4 linked regions of the Macaca fascicularis genome follow. The protein of the gene in region 2 interacts with the protein of the main gene of each other region in a biochemical or structural test. Links are inferred from orthologs where the notes say so. Each region holds a gene or a part of one and is shown on either strand. Other genes may lie near its edges.

Region 1 (4,719 bases), on a different chromosome or scaffold from region 2:
TACCCCAATTTTCTCGCCTAGATATGGTGGCTCATGCCTGTAATCTCAGCAATTTAGGAGGCTGAGGCAGGCGGATCACTTGAGGTCAGTTTGAAACCAGCCTGGTCAACATGGTAAAACCCCATCTCTACTGAAAATATAAAAATTAGCCAGGCGTAGGGGCGCATGCCTGTAATCCCAGCTACTCAGGAAGCTGAGGCACAAGAATTCCTTGAACCTGGGAGGTGGAGGTTGCAGTGAGCCGAGACTGCACTCCAGGGCAACAAGAGCGAAACTCTGTCTCAAAAACAAAAACAAAAACAAAAACAAACAAACAAAAAAAAGAAAATACCCCAATTTTCTTCATTCCTTTAAAAAAGATGTCTTCATTTACAATCTCAAAGAGGCATGGAGATGATGGGCACAGTGGCTCAGGCCTCTAATCCCAGCACTTTGGGAGGCCAAGGTGGGCAGACCACCTGAGGTGTCAGGAATTTGTGACTAGCCTGGCCAACATGCAAAACCCCATCTCTACTATAAATACAAAAATTAGCCAGGCATGTTGGTGGGCACCTTTAGTCCCAGCTACTCTGGAGGCCGAAGCACGAGAAACACTTGAACCCGGGAGGCTGCAGTGAGCCAAGACTGCACAATTGCACTTCAGCCTGGGTGACAAGAGCGAAACTCTGTCTCAAAAAAAGGGGAGATTTTTGTGCTCAGCTCAGGTTTACTTTGCTCATGACTTTAGGTATAGCTCACACAAAACATGAACTGTTAAAGGTTGTCTCCAACTTAAAACACCTTTAAACAACATTTCAAAAGCTTTTTTCTAAGTCAACTGCATTTACCCCAAGTTCTTCATCCCACATAAAAATATGGTAGTTGGCCGGGCACGGTAGCTCATGCCTGTAATCCCGGCACTTTGGGGGGCCAAGGCAGGTGGATCACGAGGTCAGGAGATCGAGACCATCCTGGCCAACACAATGAAACCCCATCTCTACTAAAAATACTAAAATTAGCTGGGCATGGTGGCTTGTGCCTGTAGTCCCAGCTACTCAGGAGACTAAGGCAGAAGAATCGCTTGAGGAGGTTGCAGTGAGCCGAGACTGCACCACTGCACTCCAGCCTGGGCAACAGAGCAACACTCCGTCTCAAATAATAATAATAATAAAAAATAAAAATAAAATAAATGGTAGTTATTGATTTGGTGTGGCAATCAAATTCATAATGAATACTATCATTTCTCTTGTAACCGAACACTCCTGTTAACTGTCAATGCTGCAAAATGAAGGAACCTCTCTAGATCAATAACTGTCTACAAAGAAACTAGAGAAATTACACTATATTCAGATTTAAGCTATAAACTGAACAATTTTAAGGTAGGTGGAATTTGCATCTCTTTCTCTATCTTTAAACAAACCAGTCAACCAATCATGGGATTCTTTTTTTTTTTTTTTTTTTTTGAGATGGAGTTTCACTCTTGTTGCCCAGGCTGGAGTGCAGTGGCGCAATCTCAGCTCACTGCAACCTCTGCCTCCCAAGTTCAAGCAATTCTCCTGCCTCAGCCTCCTGAGTAGCTGGGACTACAGGCATGCGCCGCCACACCCGGCTAATTTTTTTGTATTTTTAGTAGAGACGGGGTTTCACCATGTTGGCCAGACTGCTTTCGAACTCCTGACCTCAGGTGATCCAGTTGCCTCAGCCTCCCAAAGTATTGGGATTATAGGCGTGAGCCACCGCGCCCAGTGGGATTCTTTTTTTTTTTTTGAGACTGAGTCTCGCTGTTGCCCAGGATGGGAGTGCAGTGGCGCAATCTTGGCTCACTGCAAGCTCCGCCTCCCGGGTTCACGCCATTCTCCTGCCTCAGCCTCCTGAGTAGCTGGGACTATAGGCGCCCGCCACCACGCCTGGCTAATTTTTTGTATTTTTAGTAGAGACAGGGTTTTACCTTGTTAGCCAGGATGGTCTTGATCTCCTGACCTCGTGATCTGCCGGCCTCGGCCTCCCAAAGTGCTGGGATTACAGGCTTGAGCCACCGCGCCCAGCACTGGCGGGACTCTTAATTCCACTAGAGAAGGTAGAGTCTTGTCCTGTCTCACTATGCTTCTATGATTAAGCTAGATATCCTCCACATAGAAGGCAACAGAACTTGGATGCAAAGACGTTACTCATTTCTGTGAAATATCAGTTACCTGTCTGTAGTCTCCAGGAGCTTCTGAACTATGAGTTCAAATGAAGAAGACAAGCAATAAGTAGCTGGTTCTTCCTGATCATCAGCAACATCTGCAGCTTCATAAGCAGCTTCAGCCAGACTGGAGAAAGCCTGAAATGCAGATAGGTTCAGTGTTAATCCTGAAAGAACCCCACACCTTAGGACCATCTCATTTTTCATTAAGATACTTTGGGCTGTGTCAGTGAACTTCCAACTTTTTCTGCCAAGGTAATCTCTTAAGATGGCATTTTACGGGTGTCTTTTAAATTAACTATTTATTTATTTGATTTGTACTTTCTGTTCATCCTGTCTGATAATCTGACAACTCTCTAAGCAGCAGAGTACTTTCACCAACACCTGCCATTTCTTCTGTTTCTGATCACAGAAATCCTGTCCATTTCATTTCTCCTGTTTCCTTTCACAGACTTTTAGCCCCATTCCTTATATTCCTTATTTGAACTTCCTCCCCTTAACCAAATACATTAGCGTATACTGACTCAGCATTTAGGCTGCCTACCTTCCTTTCCTCTTGCCCTCTTCTCAGCAATGATACTTCTTGTAGCCAACAACTCTCTACCTTAATCAAAACTTCTTGTCCCCAAGCAATTCAAGAAAGCAACCCAAGTCCAGATAGTTTCCCCACTGGGTTACCATGACTGTTCTAAGTGGTTCAGGAACCAGTAACCGTGAGTCAACTGTTCCCACTGGCTCTTGCAGTTGGAATCTCCCCCACATTTTAATTGAATAAATTAGGAAGAAAATGTTATTCAGAAAAAGGCTTCCAGTGAGGCAGATCCATTTCTCTCCCACACCTTCTACTTTCTTGCCAATGGCAAAGGCAAGCTCCTTTTCTCACCCGGAAGAAAACCCCTTACCCAGCACACATTTGAAGCCACTCTGGGTTCAGCACTGAGGCCCTCAATCAGACACTGCAGCAGGGGAGCCAAGTAGACATCATTGATGGCAGCTTCAGGAAGCAGCTCACAAATTCTGCCTACAGTCCATGCAGCTGTATCTCGAACAACTACACTGGGGTCTTTCATTAATTCTATTAAGGTGGGCATAGCCTGAAAATATAACAGTTATTAGCAAAGCAAAACAAAGATTAAAATTCATGTTAACTACTACTTCAGAAAAAGAAATACTAATGGATGGCTTAACTCAAAAAAGTCACCACGATACTTTTGTAATTTTACAGGACATGGTATGAAACATCTTTCAAAATATTTGAAAATATCTTTCAAAACTCCAGTTTAGAGTTTTATATTAAAAATTTGGTATAAATGCTTTCAGTAGTCTGCAATAAATTACTCAGATAGAGGCCGGGCATGATGGCTCATGCCTATAATCCCAGCACTCTGGGAGGCTGAGGCAGGCAGATCACTTGAGGTCAGGAGTTCAAGACCAGCCTGGTCAACATGATGAAATCCAGTCTCTCTACTAAAAATACAAAAATTAGCTGGGCATGGTGGCACATAGTCCCAACTACTCAGGGGGCTAAGGCACGAGAATTGCTTGAGCTGGGGAGCTGGAGGTTGCAGTGAGCCTAGATTGTACCACTAAGCTTCAGCACTCCAGCACAGGTAACAGAGTAAGACTCCAGCCCCCCGCCTCCCCACCTCAAAAAAAAAAAAATTACTCAGATACTCAGAATTCCCAGGATGCAGCTACGATGGCATCTGGCTATATCCACAAAGACTGAATTCTTTAAGCACTAAACTCAAGTATAACAAACTCCTTTTCTTTTTTTTGAGATGGAGTTTCACTCTTGTTGCCCAGGCTGGAGTGCAATGGCACGATTTTTAATAAAAAAACAAGCACAACATTTCCACAAGAACATTTTCATTATATAAAGGCCATTTTGTCCAAAGAATAGAATAATAATGCCATTATTTAAAATTATGGGGAATCAGTGCTAGGTGCAAAAAAAAATTATCGGGAAATGTTTACAACATAGTATTAAATGAAGAAACAAGTTATAAAACAATCTGCACAGAAAGCGCCTGTTGCACACACATTTACACAGGAAAAAGCTTCAAGGATAAATACAGAGTTAAGAGCGGTTATTTCTGGGCAATGAAATTAAAGGTGACTTCTCTTTTGGCTTTTTTCAAAAGTCTCTGGATCATGCTGACTAATTAGAAACCTAAGAAATATATTTTACTCTCATTAAAAGTAAATAGGTATCTATAAATAATCTTTGTAGATGACAATTTACAGTTTTGTTTTGAAAAATAAAGATATGCTTTAAGTTTAAACAATAAATATTCTACTTTCTACTCCAAAAATCCCTCAGCTTCACCTGTATAACTAGTGGTTTGAGCTGACTGGGCTCTGGTCCTTCCAAGATACAACCAAAAGCCATCACTGCTGCATCCCGGTACCGCCAATCTGGGTTCTTGATGTGTTCTTTAATGAACGGGAGGACATGTGGGACAATGTCATCTTCACAGCAGGTGGCCAGAAGCATGAGGCACACCCCTGCTGCTTTACAGGGGTTCCAGTCATCGTCATCATCATTTTCGTCC
Region 2 (4,719 bases):
TAGTGTTAATGTGTTTTATGTTTGGCCGAAGACAATAATTCTTCCAGAGTGGCCCATGGAAGCCAAAAGATTGGACCCCCCCTGGCCTAGGCAAAGATTTTATGGCTAAGACATCAAAAGCACAGGCAACAAAAAAATAGACGAGAGGGACTATATTAAACAGCAATCAACAGAGTGAAAAATCTGTTGAAAGGGAAAAAATGTTTGCTAACTATTCATACAACAGGGAACTAATATCCAGAATACACAAGGAGCTCAAAGGACTCAACAGCAAAACAAAAAACAAACAACCCAAATAATCCTATTGAAAAGCGGGCAAAGGATCTGAATAGACATTTCTTAAAACACAATACACAAATGGCCAATAGACCTGAAAAGATGCTCAACATCACTATCATAAGGGAAATGCAAATCAAAACCACAATGAGGCAGCATTTCACCCATTAGAATGGCTACTACCAAAAGGACAAAAATTAACAAATGCTGGCAATGAAATGGAAACTTATACACTGTTGGTATGAATGTAAATTAGTATAACCATATGGAAAGCAGTATGGAAGTTTCTCAAAAAATCTAAAAATAGAATCACCTTATGATCCAGCAATCCCATTACTTATTTATCCAAAGAAAAGGAAATCAGTATATCAAACAGATACCTGTACCCGATGTTCAGTGCAGCACTATTCACAATAGCCAAGATATGGAATCAATCTAAGTGTACATCAACAGATGAATGGCTGCAGAAAATGTGATCTGATATACAGTGAAATACTATTTGGTCATTAAAAGAAAATAAAATCTTGTCATTTACTACAACATCTATGGCACTGAAGGATATTATGTTAGGTGAAATAAGTCAGGCACAAAGACAAATATTCAACGTTCTCATTCATATGTAGGAGCTAAAAAAAAGTTGATCTCATAAAGGTAGAGAACAGAATGATGGTTCAGAGGCTTGGTTGGGATGGTGGTAGGAAAAGAAAGGTGGTTAATGAATACAAATATATGGCTAGATAGTAGGAATAAATTCTAGTATTTGAGAGCACAGTAGAGTTAACAATAATTTATTGTATATTTCAAAATAGCTAGAAGAGAAGATCTGAAATATTCCCGATACAAAGAAATGATGAATGCTCAAGGTGATGGATATCCTAAATGCCCTAATTTGATTATTATACATTGTATGTAACAAAATAACACATATCAGTTTTTAAAAATGAAAAACTTTAAAATGTGGTTTTCACTTTTATCAAAAATGCTTCCGGATTATTACTAAAACTACATTTTTATGTATGACAAAATGAATGCTTTGTGTTTTCTGTGGGAATGACCTTTACTAGACTTTGTAGTATGGCTTTTTTTGGGGGGATAGTTATGCTGCTACCCAGAGCCTAGAATTTTCTAACACCTTGGTTGGGCACAGTAGCTCACACCTATAATCCTAGCACTTTAGGAGGCTGAGGTGGGTGGACTGCTTGAGCTCGGGATTTCGAGACCAGCCTGGATAACATGGCAAAACCCCGTCTCTACAAACCACGAACCACTCCAAAAATAAACAGATGGGTGTAGTGGTGGTGTCTGCCTGTAGTCCCAGCTTCTTGGCGGGCTCAGGCAGGAGAATGGCTTGAGCCCAGCAGGTTGAGGCAGTAGTGAGCTGAGATTCTACCGCTGTACTCCAGTCTGTGGGTGCAAGGTAAGACCCTATCTCAAAACATTTTTAAAAAATTTTAAAAAAGGATTCTCTAACATCTTTACTATCCAGGTCTACTTTGTTACAGAACTGAGAACCTCCACCCTAAAATGCTGTCCTTCCCCAAGTTTTAACAATAGTGTGACCCTAATTTTTAGGGCCTTTGTAGCCTTGTCTCAATTCTTTAACTGGAAGAAAGATCTCCCTAAAATTGACTTTTTCTTTGTATTTAGTTTATAAAATTGATTGCTCTTTAAATTAAAAAAATTAACAGAGAGAGGAAGTCAATAATGTCAGAGAAACAAAATTCTGTATAGGATAGAAAGTTACAGTATACCATATGGCTCAGCAATAATCAGCATTTCCATAATCCGAATCGTGATCTAACCATATACTGTCTCTATATTATGAAGACAGAGGAAAGACTGGACGTGGTGGCTCATGCCTGTAATCCCAGCACTTTGGGAGGCTGAGGTGGGCGGATCATGAGGTCAGGAGATCGAGACCATCCTGGCTAACATGGTGAAACCCCGTCTCTACTAAAAATACAAAAAAATCAGCCAGGCGTGGTGGCGGATGCCTGTAGTCCCAGCTACTTGGGAGGATGAGGCAGGAGAACCATTTGAACCCAGGAGGAGGAGGATGCAGTGAGAGCCACTGCACTCCAGCCTGGGCGACAGAGCAAGATTCCGTCTTTAAAAAAAACATAAAAAAAGAAGACGACAGAGAAAAATGTTAACTGTGTGAAAGAAATCGAAACTTCCCAATTTCATATTAGAGGAAAAAATCCTGATCAAAATGGTTAATATATATCAGAAAACAGGAGAAATTTTAGTATGTACATTAACTGACAAAGTACCAATAACCAGAACACATAAAGAACTTTTACAAACCCATATGTAAAAGCCAAACTGAAAAATGGCCAATAAAAAAAAAAAAAAACACTTTTTAAAAAGAATTCACACACATGAGAAATCAAGTAGAAGCCACATATAAGAACTCATACAATAGTGGTAGGGTATGAACTGGCAGAATTCAACAGGAAAAGTTTGTATTATCTTCTAGTATAAGATATACAAACCTTTTAATTCAGCAATCCCATGCCACTGTATATACTCTAGAAAAACTCCAGAAAAACATATATACTCTAGAAAAACATACTTATGTGCACCAAGGTACATATATAAGAATGTGCAGAGTAGCATTTCCTAGTTGTTAAAAACAACTGAAACATACGTCAACAGTAAATAGATAAACTGCAGTACATTCATACAATGATTTATGTACATACAATGATTCTATGGCAATGACAATAAACCATATGCAAAACATGGATGACCCTTAGAAACCTTAGAGCGAAAGAATCAAGAATCAAAAGATTGCATACAGTAATGTTTCATTTATATATAAAAGCAGGCAAAACTACATTTTCTAGGGATGCATATATTGGCCAATAAATGCAGTAATAAAACTCAAAGAACAGCGATTACCATAAAAGACGAAGCGGTGGTCATCATTAGAGTGGAGAAAGAGAGGAATGTTTTCAAAAACAGATATATGAGGGGCTCCCAGGTGGTTATTATATAGCATTTGCTTCAATATTACACTGTTCACTTATATTTTACACCCCTTTCTACATGTTATATTTCACAATTAGAAAAAATCAACAATTTTAAGAAAATACAGGATTATAATACAGTTTGATTAGTCATATTTAAATATGCAGGTCAAATGGAAAAGCTAGTATCATCAGTAAACAGAAAGTGTCATGAGACAACTCAGCGGGACTGCCTCAGGAGAGAGCACTGGACCTGGGGGTAACTTCCTGACGCAAATCCAATCATGAATAGGATCAGAAAATGCACTTTAAAGCTAGCTCTGAGAGCCCAAAAATTCAGAGTTGAAAAGAAACCAGACTGAATGAATCTCAAGTCAGAGTAAAAATTAACACTTTAAAATACATTACTACCTTAAAAAGTTATAAGTCTGTGAAACCTGGGAATGTTGTTTACATATAAATCCAACCATATTACCTCTTTATTCTGCCAAGTACAAGAGATAATTTTTTTTCCCCGAGTCGGAGTCTCGCACTGTTGCTCAGGCTGGAGTGCAGTGGCACGATCTTGGCTCACTGCAACCTCTGCCTCCCGGGTTCACGCCATTCTCCTGCCTCAGCCTCCAGAGTAGCTGGGACTACAGGCGCCTGCCACCATGCCCGGCTCATTTTTTGTATTTAGTTGTATTTTTAGTAGGTTTCACCATGTTAGCCAGGATGGTCTCAATCTCCTGACCTCATGATCCGCCCACCTCGGCCTCCCAAAGTGCTGGGGTTACGGCGTGAGCCACCGTGCCCGGCCAAGAGGTAATTTTAAAATTAAACATACAAATGGTTTCCAAGCTCAAAGGAAAATATTTTAAGACATACAAAACTCATACAGATACAACAGCATCACAGCACACTTACTGGAATTAGGAGTTGTTCCAGAGCCAAATGCAGACTGACTAGGTTGCTGTCCAAACACAGGGGGCTGACTACTGCTTGACACTGTCCCAAAAGTAGGTGGTGCAGGCTGAGAACCACTGGAAAATAATGCTGTGGAAGATGATATAGATCCAAAGCCTGGGGGATTGGGCTGGCTGGCACCTTGACTTTGTCCAAATGTTGGGGTCTGGTTAGCACCAAATGCTGGACTGGCAGATGGTGCTGAAGGTCCAGTTCCAAATACGAAGGAGGATCCTGGAGGCCCAAAGACACACTTAAGTCGCCATGGTGGCTAATGTCAGATTATCCTCAAGAAATTTCTGAAAACCCACAAGCAAATGTCAAGCTTCTTTTCAGACTCTTACCTTGTTAACCAAATTCCATCAAGACAAGTTTTAAATAATGATTGAGAATACAACTCTCTCTACCATTATTTAGTGAAACATACTAAATTCATATAAACAAAAACTGCAATTAACAACTACTCCATACCTTCACAGCCAACAATTTTTGGTAAAGGAACATATCTCAGAAAAGTCTCCCACCA
Region 3 (5,364 bases), on a different chromosome or scaffold from region 2:
GTGTGAGCTCAGTGGGTTTAGAATCCACCACCTTTGGCTTATTAAGCTTTTAGTGCTGCTTGTAGCAAGTCTTGTTTTTGCCTTAGGGCATAACTGATCTGTCAAGGCAAGATCCTGATTGGTTAAAGCCTATTCAGGAACTTCTCTCGTCCGCCTTGAAGCTGTAAGGGTCCAAAGCAGTAGTCTTATTTTCTTAGCTAGAGAAATTACATTTCTGATTGACCACACTTGGCCCTTTTTAAAATTAATAAATGCTTCTGAAATAATTCTGACTAGCATTCCCGGTAGTAAACCTCCTTTCAATTTGGTTTCTTTGAATGGGAGCTGAGATATGGAACTTTCACTTTGTTTTTTTCTTTTCTGAAAAACATTTTTCCTATGGGGTCACGCTCTCCATCTCATAGTCTGGGTTTCCAATCAAATGCAGAACCATGGAAGATTAAACACAAGAACAGAACAGAAAGGAAAAGCAGTATTTGCAAGTTACATCTTAGACCTGTGGCTTCAGTTCTCACAAGGCCTGTTTTTCCCTTGCTATGATCTATGTTTTATACCACACAGAGTAAGAATAATTGTGTTTTTTTGTTTATGATGGTGTGTTTAGGTAATACCTGATTTAATATTTACCTTTATAATATTGTTTATAGCAATATTTAGAAAAAGTCCAAGGGATTTGTATATAATGATGTTTTACCCTTTCCTCCCTTCTTTTTTCTTTGTAATTTTAGGAGATTCCTCAACAGTTGAATGGGAGTGATTGTGGAATGTTTACTTGTAAATATGCAGATTATATTTCTAGGGACAAACCTATCACATTTACTCAGGTGAGTGAAGACCCTCCTCATTCATTTACTTGTTACTAAGCAAGATAAGGCACTTGGCCAGTGCCTGGCACATGTTCAGCTCTCAGTAGTAGTAGCTGGCCAGGCGTGGTGGCTCACACCTATATTCCCAGCACTTTGGGAGGCCGAGGCAGGCGGATCACCTGAGGTTAGGAGTTCAAGACCAGCCTGGCCAACATGGTGAAACCCCATCTCTACTAAAAACACAAAAGTTAGCCAGGTGTGGTGGTGCACACCTATAATCCCAGCTACTCAGGAGACTGAGGCAGGAGAATCGCTTGAACCCAGGAGGCAGAGGTCGCAGTGAGCCGAGGTCACACCAGTGCACTCCAGTCTTGGCAACAGAGCGAGACTCTTGTCTCAAAAATAAATAAATAATAGTAGCTGGGCTCATGCCTGTAATCCCAGCACTTTGGGAGGCCAAGGCAGGTGGATCAGCTGAGGTCAGAAGTTCAAGACCAGCCTGACCAACATGGAGAAACCCTGTGTCTACTAAAAATACAAAATTAGCCGGGCGTGGTGGCGCATGCCTGTAATCCCAGTTACTAGGGAGGCTGAGGCAGGAGAATTGCTTGAACCCAGGAGGTGGAGGTTGTGGGGAGTCGAGATCACGCCATTGCACTCCAGCCTGGGGCAACAAAAGCGAAACTCCATCTCCCCAAAAAAAAAAAAAAAAATAGTAGTAGCTGTGCTATTCTTATTGCTGTAAATCTTGGTTTTAGCCCTACCCCTGCCAGAATCAGGGTTTGTTATTTTATCTGCTCTCAGGTTTATCCTAGTCTTTGGTACACAATGGGCACAAATTGCAAACCTCTGAACTCTGGCATTCATTGGTTCCTGTGTATTATTATTTCTAGCCAAAGAAAGAGGTATGTCAGTATTTAATAGGAAGGGAAAAACAGGCCTGTGAGCATTGAAGTCACAGGTCTAAGATGTAACTTGTGAATACTGCTCTTCCTTTCTGTTCTGCTCTTTTGTTTGTTTAATTCTCCATGGCTCTGCATTTGATTGGAAACTCAAGTATGTTGGGAATTCTTGAGAATTTGTAACAGTGGATTCTCAACCTTTTTACAACTGAGGACAACCTCATTAAAAATATTTTTCAGGCCGGTGTGGTGGCTCAAGCTTGTAATCTCAGCACTTTGGGAGGCCGAGGCGGGTGGATCACGAGGTCAGGAGATCGAGACCATCCTGGTAACACAGTGAAACCCCGTCTCTACTAAAAAATACAAAAAACTAGCCGGGCGAGGTGGCGGGCGCCTGTAGTCCCAGCTACTGGGGATGCTGAGGCAGGAGAATGGCGTAAACCCAGGAGGCAGAGCTTGCAGTTAGCTGAGATCCAGCCACTGCACTCCAGCCTGGGCGACAGAGCGAGACTCTGTCTCAAAAAATATATATATATATTTTTCATCCACAGACTTTATTTTGATAGATGTCTACCAAGCAAACTGTATTTATTACATGAATACAAACTATAATACAAACTGTATTACATGAAGTAACTAGGACTCCCATGCTGAATTAATACAATTCCAGTAAAAAATAAAGGCATTTATTGCTTAGTCTTAGCAGTTTTACTAAGAGCAAATGTGCAGTTTTTACTAGATGTTTTGAACTATTTAAAATAATTTAAGAATCATGTGTTAAGACTTTTTAGCCCCCACCCCTAGGTAGGACATCACTAGTTTTTTATTATTATTATTATTATTATTATTATTATTATTATTATTTTGAGATGGAGTCTTGCTCTGTTGCCCAGGCTGGAGTGCAGAGGCATGATCTTGGCTCACTGCAACCTCCATCTCTCAGGTTCAAGTGATTCTCCTGCCTCAGCCTCCTGAGAAGCTGGGACTACAGGCATGTACCACCATGCCCGGCTAATTTTTGTATTTTTAATGGAGGCGAGGTTTCACCGTGTTAGCCAGGATGGTTTCGATCTCCCGACCTTATGATCTGCCCTCCTCGGCCTCCCAAAGTGCTGGGACTGCGCCCGGCCTTTTAATGGTTTGATAAGTATGTTCCATGATATAAAAATGTCAACATTTAGAAAAAGAACATGGACATCCTGCTTTATTGACATGATTACACCTGAAGGTTGTGCTGCTGTGCACATTATGATGTAATGCATGTGTTGTTTATGGGATTCTTTGCAGCACCAGATGCCTCTCTTCCGGAAGAAGATGGTGTGGGAAATCCTTCATCAGCAGTTGCTGTGAGAAAACTTTGCCTGGTCCCCTCTAGCTGCTGGTGGTTCTTTCACAGACATTTCCATATACCTCATGCATTGTGGGTTAAAAAGTCCCTGCATCACTTCTGTTCTCTCACAGGTACTGAGCTGTCAAAAGTGCATGAAGGCCTCTCACTGCACCCTAGTCCTGACTTGGGGTGCAGAGGGCTGCTTGCAATCCTGTTTGTAAGGCTGTGCCTGCTCAGAGCTTTGGACTGTTCAACCCACACAAGAACAAACGCTAACTACTATTTTTTTTAAGAGATTCTTTTCCCTATGAATGTGGGAAATGCAGGATTTACTCTGTGAATTGTTTGTTTTCTGTGTGTTTGTTCAGCGTATTCATTCACTCACTCGTTTGCAAACATAATGGGCAGTGGTCATTTGCTGCTGCTCTTTTACAGTTAGCTCTAAATTACTTGTTTGAACTATTTATTTCTGAAAGGAATGTTACTCAAGCTGCCACTCCCTGCTGAAGACCAGGAGGGAACTCTCACTGGGGGCGGAAGGAAGTGGAGCTGGAGCAGTAACTGCCAACATGAAGCTGGAGGGTTTGGGATTTTGTTTTTTGTTTTTGTTTTTTTGAGGCTCAAAAATGCTGGGAGAAATGAAAATGCTGTGGGATAGGGCTCCCGTTGCCTTTCAGAGGAAGTCTGACACTACAGCGTTGGCACAGTGCCATGAACAGTGGACCTGTGCCCAAGGAACTCTGACTATCCAAGCATCTTCCGAAGAGATGTGTTGTCATCTTAAAGAGACTTCCCTTTCTGGAAATGAGGTGACTTGGCTTAGTCTTGAAACTGGATTCATGGATTTGAAGTAACTGTAAACCCTAAATCTTCATTTTCATCCCAGATCTGATTGAGTATAAACCTCAGAATTATAGGGCCTGGCCTGAGCTGTTTAATTCAAAAGATACTATTCAATTTAAAGCTATTTTTCCTCAGAGTTTTTGTTTTCTATATATTAAGCCTAAATTAAGTTTTCTACTCATTAAGACTGACATCTCCCCACTCCATCCCCACTGAAATTTGTGGAAGAAAATTTAGTACTTGGCTCTGAGGTTGCCAGTTATACAATAATCTATTTTGCATATGAAAGTTTGTATTTAACTTTTTTGTTCATTAAAAACCTTACTGATGTGGTTATAACTTCAGAAAGTTTAGAGTTGGTCAGAACATATTTTGCAAGATCTAGTGCCTAGTGTTGCTTTTCTGATGTAATAAAAGGTTGTCTGGCAGAACCTAAAAAAGTATATGCTGAAATGATTTCCAACCCTCTCCCTACTTCAACCTCCCAAACTTGTTCTGGTTCATAAAAGCAAGAGGTAAAACTGGAAAAATTGGGCATGTGTTACCTATGAATCTACATGCCTGCCATTTGGAGTGCTCCGGCTGCTGGTCCCAGAGGTATACTGGTTATAGCTATTGCAGCCAGTTCCCTGAGACTTGTAAAATCCTGGTTTAGGACATGGGCCTGTGGTGTGGATTGAAAATGCTGGGCCTACTTGATGGTCAGCCAGAGGCCATGTGGTTGGGTGATGATTGAAGTGGGAGCAGGTTGTGCTACACCTCCCTCCTTCCTGCAGCCCCTGCTCCTTTCCCTGGGCTCCTGGCACTGAGTGACTACTGGGACCAGGCAATGAGCACAGCCAAAAAGGCCAGAGGTCACTAGGTCAGCATTATACCAAACACCTGGCTTTCACTGGGCATCAGCGTGCTTCACTTGAGAGTTTGGTACCATGGTTAAGATTGATTCCATGCGCCGGGCGCGGTGGCTCAAGCCTGTAATCCCAGCACTTTGGGAGGCCGAGGCGGGCGGATCACAAGGTCAGGAGATCGAGACCACGGTGAAACCCCGTCTCTACTAAAAATACAAAAAATTAGCCGGGCGCGGTGGCGGGCGCCTGTAGTCCTAGCTACTCAGGAGGCTGAGGCAGGAGAATGGCGGGAACCCGGGAGGCGGAGCTTGCAGTGAGCCGAGATCGCGCCACTGCACTCCAGCCTGGGCAACAGCGTGAGACTCCGTCTCAAAAAAAAAAAAAAAAAAAAGATTGATTCCATGCTAGGTAAGTCCTGTTAGGAATGGCAGTTTGTATTCCGCCCACATGAATTATGCTGGGCTTAATGTATTATTTGAGGGGCTTCTTAAGAGCAGTTCTCACTGAGCTTTCCATTAACGTACACTCTTCTGGACGGCTCTTAAAACTTCCAGGACATAATGAAATTGGGAAGAGCAGAGTGTTGAACTCTATAGCATGGCCTTCTGCTTGACCCTGAGTTCCTGAATTGAATG
Region 4 (4,719 bases), on a different chromosome or scaffold from region 2:
GTGCTGCCAGCAGGTGCTGCCTTGTATCTGCTGGGAAACCCAGTGGTCCTGGGGAGATTCTGGGATGTGATACTCACCGGGCAGGGTTCTGAGGAATGAAAGGAATGCTCAGGGAACAGCAGGCCCCATCATGGTAGGCATCCAGGAGCCCTTGCCGGTCTCCAGAGTCATAAATTGCATAGTACCTATGGGAAAATCAAAAGAGAAAGTATGAACTATGTGGTCTAGAGCCATAAAAGGACCCAGTAGCTCCCAAGAGTGAGTTGTGGCCGGGCATGGAGGCTCATGTCTGTAATCCCAGCACTTTGGGAGGCTGAGGCAGATGAACAGCTTTTGCCCAGGAGTTCAAGACCAGCCTGAGCAACATGGCAAAACCCTGTCTCTACTAAAAATACAAACAAAATGGCTGGGCGCGGTGGCTCATGACTCTAATCCCAACACTTTGGGAGGATAAGGCAGGCAGATCATGAGGTCAGGAGTTGGAGACTAGCCTGGCCAACACAGTGAAACCCCGTCTCTATGAAAAATACAAAAATTAGCCAGGTGTGGTGGCACACGCCTGTAGTCCCATCTACTGGGGAGGCTGAGGCAGGAGAATCACTTGAACCCTGGGAGGCAGAGGTTGCAGTGAGCCAAGATCACATCATTGCACTCCAGCCTGGGTGACAGAGTGAGACACTGTCCAAAAAACAAACAAACAAAAAAAAAACCCAAAAGAGTGAGGCTGAGGTGTGCCTGGGTCTGCCCACCTTTCCCTGCCAACCCCGGGGTGGGGAGAGGGGGCCCTGGGATACTTACTGTTGTAGGAAGTGCAGGACCAGACTCTTCAAGTTTTCTGTTCCAAAATAGCTTCCCTGAAATCAAACAAGATATTAGGAACATGGAAGCAGTATTCTCTCCACACATAAGTTCTTACTCAGTCCATGCTTCCTACCTTGCAGGGCGGTAACGTCGTGGGGGCTTCAACATCAAAGGCAATTGGCGGGGGTAGCTCATGGCCATCCTGTGGAAAGGAAATAAAAGTTGACAGTGTAGACTGAGCACAGTGGCTCACACCTGTGATCCCAGAACTTTGGGAGGCCGAGGCAGGCAGATGGCTTGAGCCCAGGAGTTTTAGACCAGCCTGGACAACATGGCAAAACCCATCTCTACCAAAAAAAAATACAAAAATCAGCTGGGCGTGGTGGTGTGTGCCTGTAGTCCCAGCTATTTGGGAGGCTGAAGTGGGAGGATCACTTGAACCTGGCAGGCGAAGGTTGCAGTAAGCTACGATTGTGCCACTGCACTCCAGCCTGGATGACAGAGCGAGACCCTGTCTCAAAAACAAAACAAAAGTTGACAGTTTAAACCAGAGAGAAAAAGGCTGGATGCATAAGTAGACTAAAGAACTAACAGAGAAGGATCAGAAGTCACGTATAAAAGCATCATGAAAAGTATCCAGGAATCCAGGCTGGGCACAGTGGCTCATGCCTGTAATCCCAGCACACTGGGAGGCCAAGGTGGATGGATTAGTTGAGGTCAGGAGTTCAAGACCATCCTGGCCAACATGGTGAAACCCCCGTCTCTACTAAAAATACACAAAGAAATTAGCTGGGCGTTGTGGCACATGCATGTAATCCCAGCTACTTGGGAGGCTGAGGCAGGAAAATCGCTTGAACCCAGGAGGCGGAGGTTGCAGTGAGTCTAGATTGCACCGCACTCTGGATAACAGAGCAAGACTCCATAAACGGCCTGGCAAGGTGGCTCACGCCTATAATCCCAGCACTTTGGGAGGCCAAGGTGGATGGATCACCTGAGGTGAGGAGTTTGAGGCCAGCCTGGCCAACATGGTGAAACCCTGTCTCTACTAAAAATACAAAAATTAGCCAGGCGTGGTAGCACATGCCTGTAATCCCAGCTACTCGGGCTCAGTAAACTGTGGCAGGAGAATCGCTTGAACCTGGGAGGCGGAGGTTGCGGTGAGCTGAGATCACGCCGTTGCACTCCAACCTGGGCGATAAGAGTGAAACTCCGCCTCAAAAAAAAAAAAATAATAAAAAGAAAAAGAAAACTATCCAGGAATCCTTGTGAGTGGGAGACACTGTGCTTGTTAGAATGAAAAAATTATGGACTTACCAGGCGTAATAACTTGGGAAATCGTTCGCGAATGGCGCTGTCAAGAACGGGACAGAAGTAAGTGATGCTTCAGAGCCACCGTGCCTCCTGGGCTGCTCTAGGAGCAAATATACCAAACCCGAGGGACAGCCCATCCCATCCTGCTCATCCCTCCACTCCCTCCCAGCCTGTGCTCAGGGAAAAATGGCCCCACTCCCCACCTGACCCGGGGCACCCAGACATGGACTGCCTTGAAGGCTGTCTCTTTTCTCTCTGCCTGACCCTGAGTGTCAAGGAGCAGTACTCCAAACCTAGGCTTTAAGCCCAGGACCTCTTTCCCCTCCCTGCCCCCCTTACCTTCCACCTACTCACCTGTGCAGCCCCGGGAGGAGGGAATGGGGTGGGAGCCCAGGGGCTCCGCTGCCTCACCAGGTATCCATCAGTTCTGCCAGGTCTGGCCTTGGCCAAGACCCAAACACACCACAGGGATGGCACAGGATGTTGGGGCAGGGAGATGAGCAGGTGGGGCTCAGGAAGAGGAGAAGCCAAGGAGTAAGAAAGGAGAGGAAAAGGAGGAAAAAGAGAAGAAGGCAAGATGGGGCAGGGGCAAGGCAGAGATGGGGAGGTATAGGAAACACAGAAGAAAAAGAAAGAGAAAGCAAAGAAAAAGGGAAAAGAACTACAAGGCAAAAAAGCATCTAGAAAAATGAGGGAGAAAAGGGAGAAACTGACACAGCCCTTTCTTTCAGCTGCCCCATCCCTGTGGTCCAAGGTAGAAATGAGAAACAAATCCTTGCTGTGGTGAGTGGGCACTTGCTGTTGGCCAGGTCTCTGTCTGCTACCTGGGTCCCGATCTGAGCTGGGCGTGGGGAGCAAAGCAGCCATGGGGGCAGGAGACCTCCCTCAGAAGGTGTGAGGGTTCAGGCCCTTGCAGGATTGTGGGGGTGAGGGTCCGTGCCCCACCTCTGTTGCCCCCAAGTTATCTCCTGATGGCCCCTCTGCGACTGTGCCTGTCTTAGGTTGTTCCTTCCCTGAGGAATCTTACCCGTCTCTGGCTAACCAGCCATCCACCGGGGCCAAACAGGGTGACGTGCAGTGTGTGAGTGAGGGAGAGGCAGCGCCCCCGAGGGGCTCAGTTCTCTGTCTCCTTGGTAGCCTATGCCCCCGTGGCCTCCACGCCCAGCACCTGCCTTGGGATTCCCTCGCCTGCTGGCGGGGCCCCAGCTCTGATCACGTCTTGGGGAACCCAGGTTTCTTCTTCAGGGAGATAGACAGATTGCATGCCACCAGCCCCTAGGAGGCCTCAACCTCAGCATGGGCAGGAATGCCCAGGCAACAACCCTGGGCAAGTGGATCCTGAGAAAAGGGTCCCTCTTCGCGCAAGGGCAAGAGGGACCATCACAGTACAAAGGACGGAAGGCCCATCTCAGTAAGGAAGTCCCAGGCAGGGAGGGCTTCCTCCGCCCACGGACATCAGGCTCTTGGTATAAGGCCACTCCATCTATAGGGTATGTACAAATACCCTCTGGTCAGAGTAGAAAGGAGAGATGCCTTTCCTGGAACAACAGGGTAGGGAGATTCTAGAAAAGGTTGTGTTCAGGAAGAAAGAGAAAGGCCACAGACCCAGCAAACAGATAGTCAGGTCAGAAGAGAAGAGAAAGGATCTCAGGACAAAGCTGGAAGACATAGACAGACCAAAGTGGGGAGCACGTGATCCTCCCAAAGGACAGGTGGTTCCAGCTCAGGGCTGCACATCTCCGCAGACGGGCCCTGGTCAGGATGCATTAGCTCAGCCTCCCAGGGGGTGAAGGTCCCCAGGAGGGGAGACACAGGCTACAACTGACCTGATGTAGGTGGACTGGTCTCGGAAGGTGTCACACAAGGAGTTTCCGTCGAGCCAGAGCTCTTCTAGTTTCAGCCCCTTTATCTTGTCCAACTCCCGCTCAGACTTCAACTGCAAAAGGTGGAAGGAAAAAGGGAGGAGACCCTGGTGAAGACAGCCAACTGGATCCCCATACCCCCAGTACCTACGCTTAGCTCTGAAATCTTCTTTTTTAATCTCTTAAAATTTTATTTTTTTGGGGGGGACAGGGTCTCACTCTGTCACCCAAGTTCAGTGCTGTGGCATGATCATAGTTCACTGCAGCCTCAAACTCCTGGACTCAAGAGATCCTCCCACCTCAGACTCCTAGGTATCTAGGACTACAGGCATGTGACATCATGCTTGACTAATTTATTTTTTAAATTAAAAAAAATTTTTTGGCCGGGCGTGGTGGCTCAAGCCTGTAATCCCAGCACTTTGGGAGGCCGAGACAGGCGGATCACAAGGTCAGGAGATCGAGACCATCCTGGCTAACACGGCGAAACCCCGTCTCTACTAAAAACACAAAAAGTTAGCCGGGCGAGGTGGCGGCGCCTGTGGTCCCAGCTACTCGGGAGGCTGAGGCAGGAGAATGGCGGGAACCCGGGAGGCGGAGCTTGCAGTGAGCTGAGATCCGGCCACTGCACTCCAGCCTGGGCGACAGAGCGAGACTCCGTCTCAAAAAAAAAAAAAAAAAAAAAAAAAAAAAATTTTTGAGACAGGTTGCTCAAGCTAGAATGCAATAGCGCAATCATAACTCACTG

Evidence for each region.
Region 1: the proteins of NUP153 (region 2) and KPNB1 form a complex in vitro, tested with the Homo sapiens proteins (4 studies listed by BioGRID and IntAct, with this or other methods). The link is inferred for Macaca fascicularis from reciprocal best matches to the Homo sapiens genes NUP153 and KPNB1.
Region 3: the proteins of NUP153 (region 2) and SENP2 form a complex in vitro, tested with the Homo sapiens proteins (2 studies listed by BioGRID). The link is inferred for Macaca fascicularis from reciprocal best matches to the Homo sapiens genes NUP153 and SENP2.
Region 4: the proteins of NUP153 (region 2) and NXF1 form a complex in vitro, tested with the Homo sapiens proteins (2 studies listed by BioGRID and IntAct). The link is inferred for Macaca fascicularis from reciprocal best matches to the Homo sapiens genes NUP153 and NXF1.

What each region holds. Positions count from the first base shown.
Region 1 is NC_088390.1:59,067,118-59,071,836, forward strand, and holds part of KPNB1 (importin subunit beta-1), read right to left. Parts: intron 4,719-4,719; coding exon 4,494-4,718; intron 3,259-4,493; coding exon 3,067-3,258; intron 2,303-3,066; coding exon 2,172-2,302; intron 1-2,171.
Region 2 is NC_088378.1:155,270,805-155,275,523, reverse strand, and holds part of NUP153 (nuclear pore complex protein Nup153), read right to left. Parts: intron 4,428-4,719; coding exon 4,155-4,427; intron 1-4,154. UniProt on the Homo sapiens protein: Component of the nuclear pore complex (NPC), a complex required for the trafficking across the nuclear envelope. Functions as a scaffolding element in the nuclear phase of the NPC essential for normal nucleocytoplasmic transport of proteins and mRNAs.
Region 3 is NC_088376.1:97,560,190-97,565,553, forward strand, and holds the end of SENP2 (sentrin-specific protease 2), read left to right. Parts: intron 1-728; coding exon 729-824; intron 825-2,995; coding exon 2,996-3,058; 3' UTR 3,059-4,321; downstream 4,322-5,364. UniProt on the Homo sapiens protein: Protease that catalyzes two essential functions in the SUMO pathway.
Region 4 is NC_088388.1:11,251,656-11,256,374, reverse strand, and holds part of NXF1 (nuclear RNA export factor 1), read right to left. Parts: intron 4,049-4,719; coding exon 3,939-4,048; intron 2,153-3,938; coding exon 2,116-2,152; intron 1,004-2,115; coding exon 935-1,003; intron 855-934; coding exon 799-854; intron 186-798; coding exon 78-185; intron 1-77.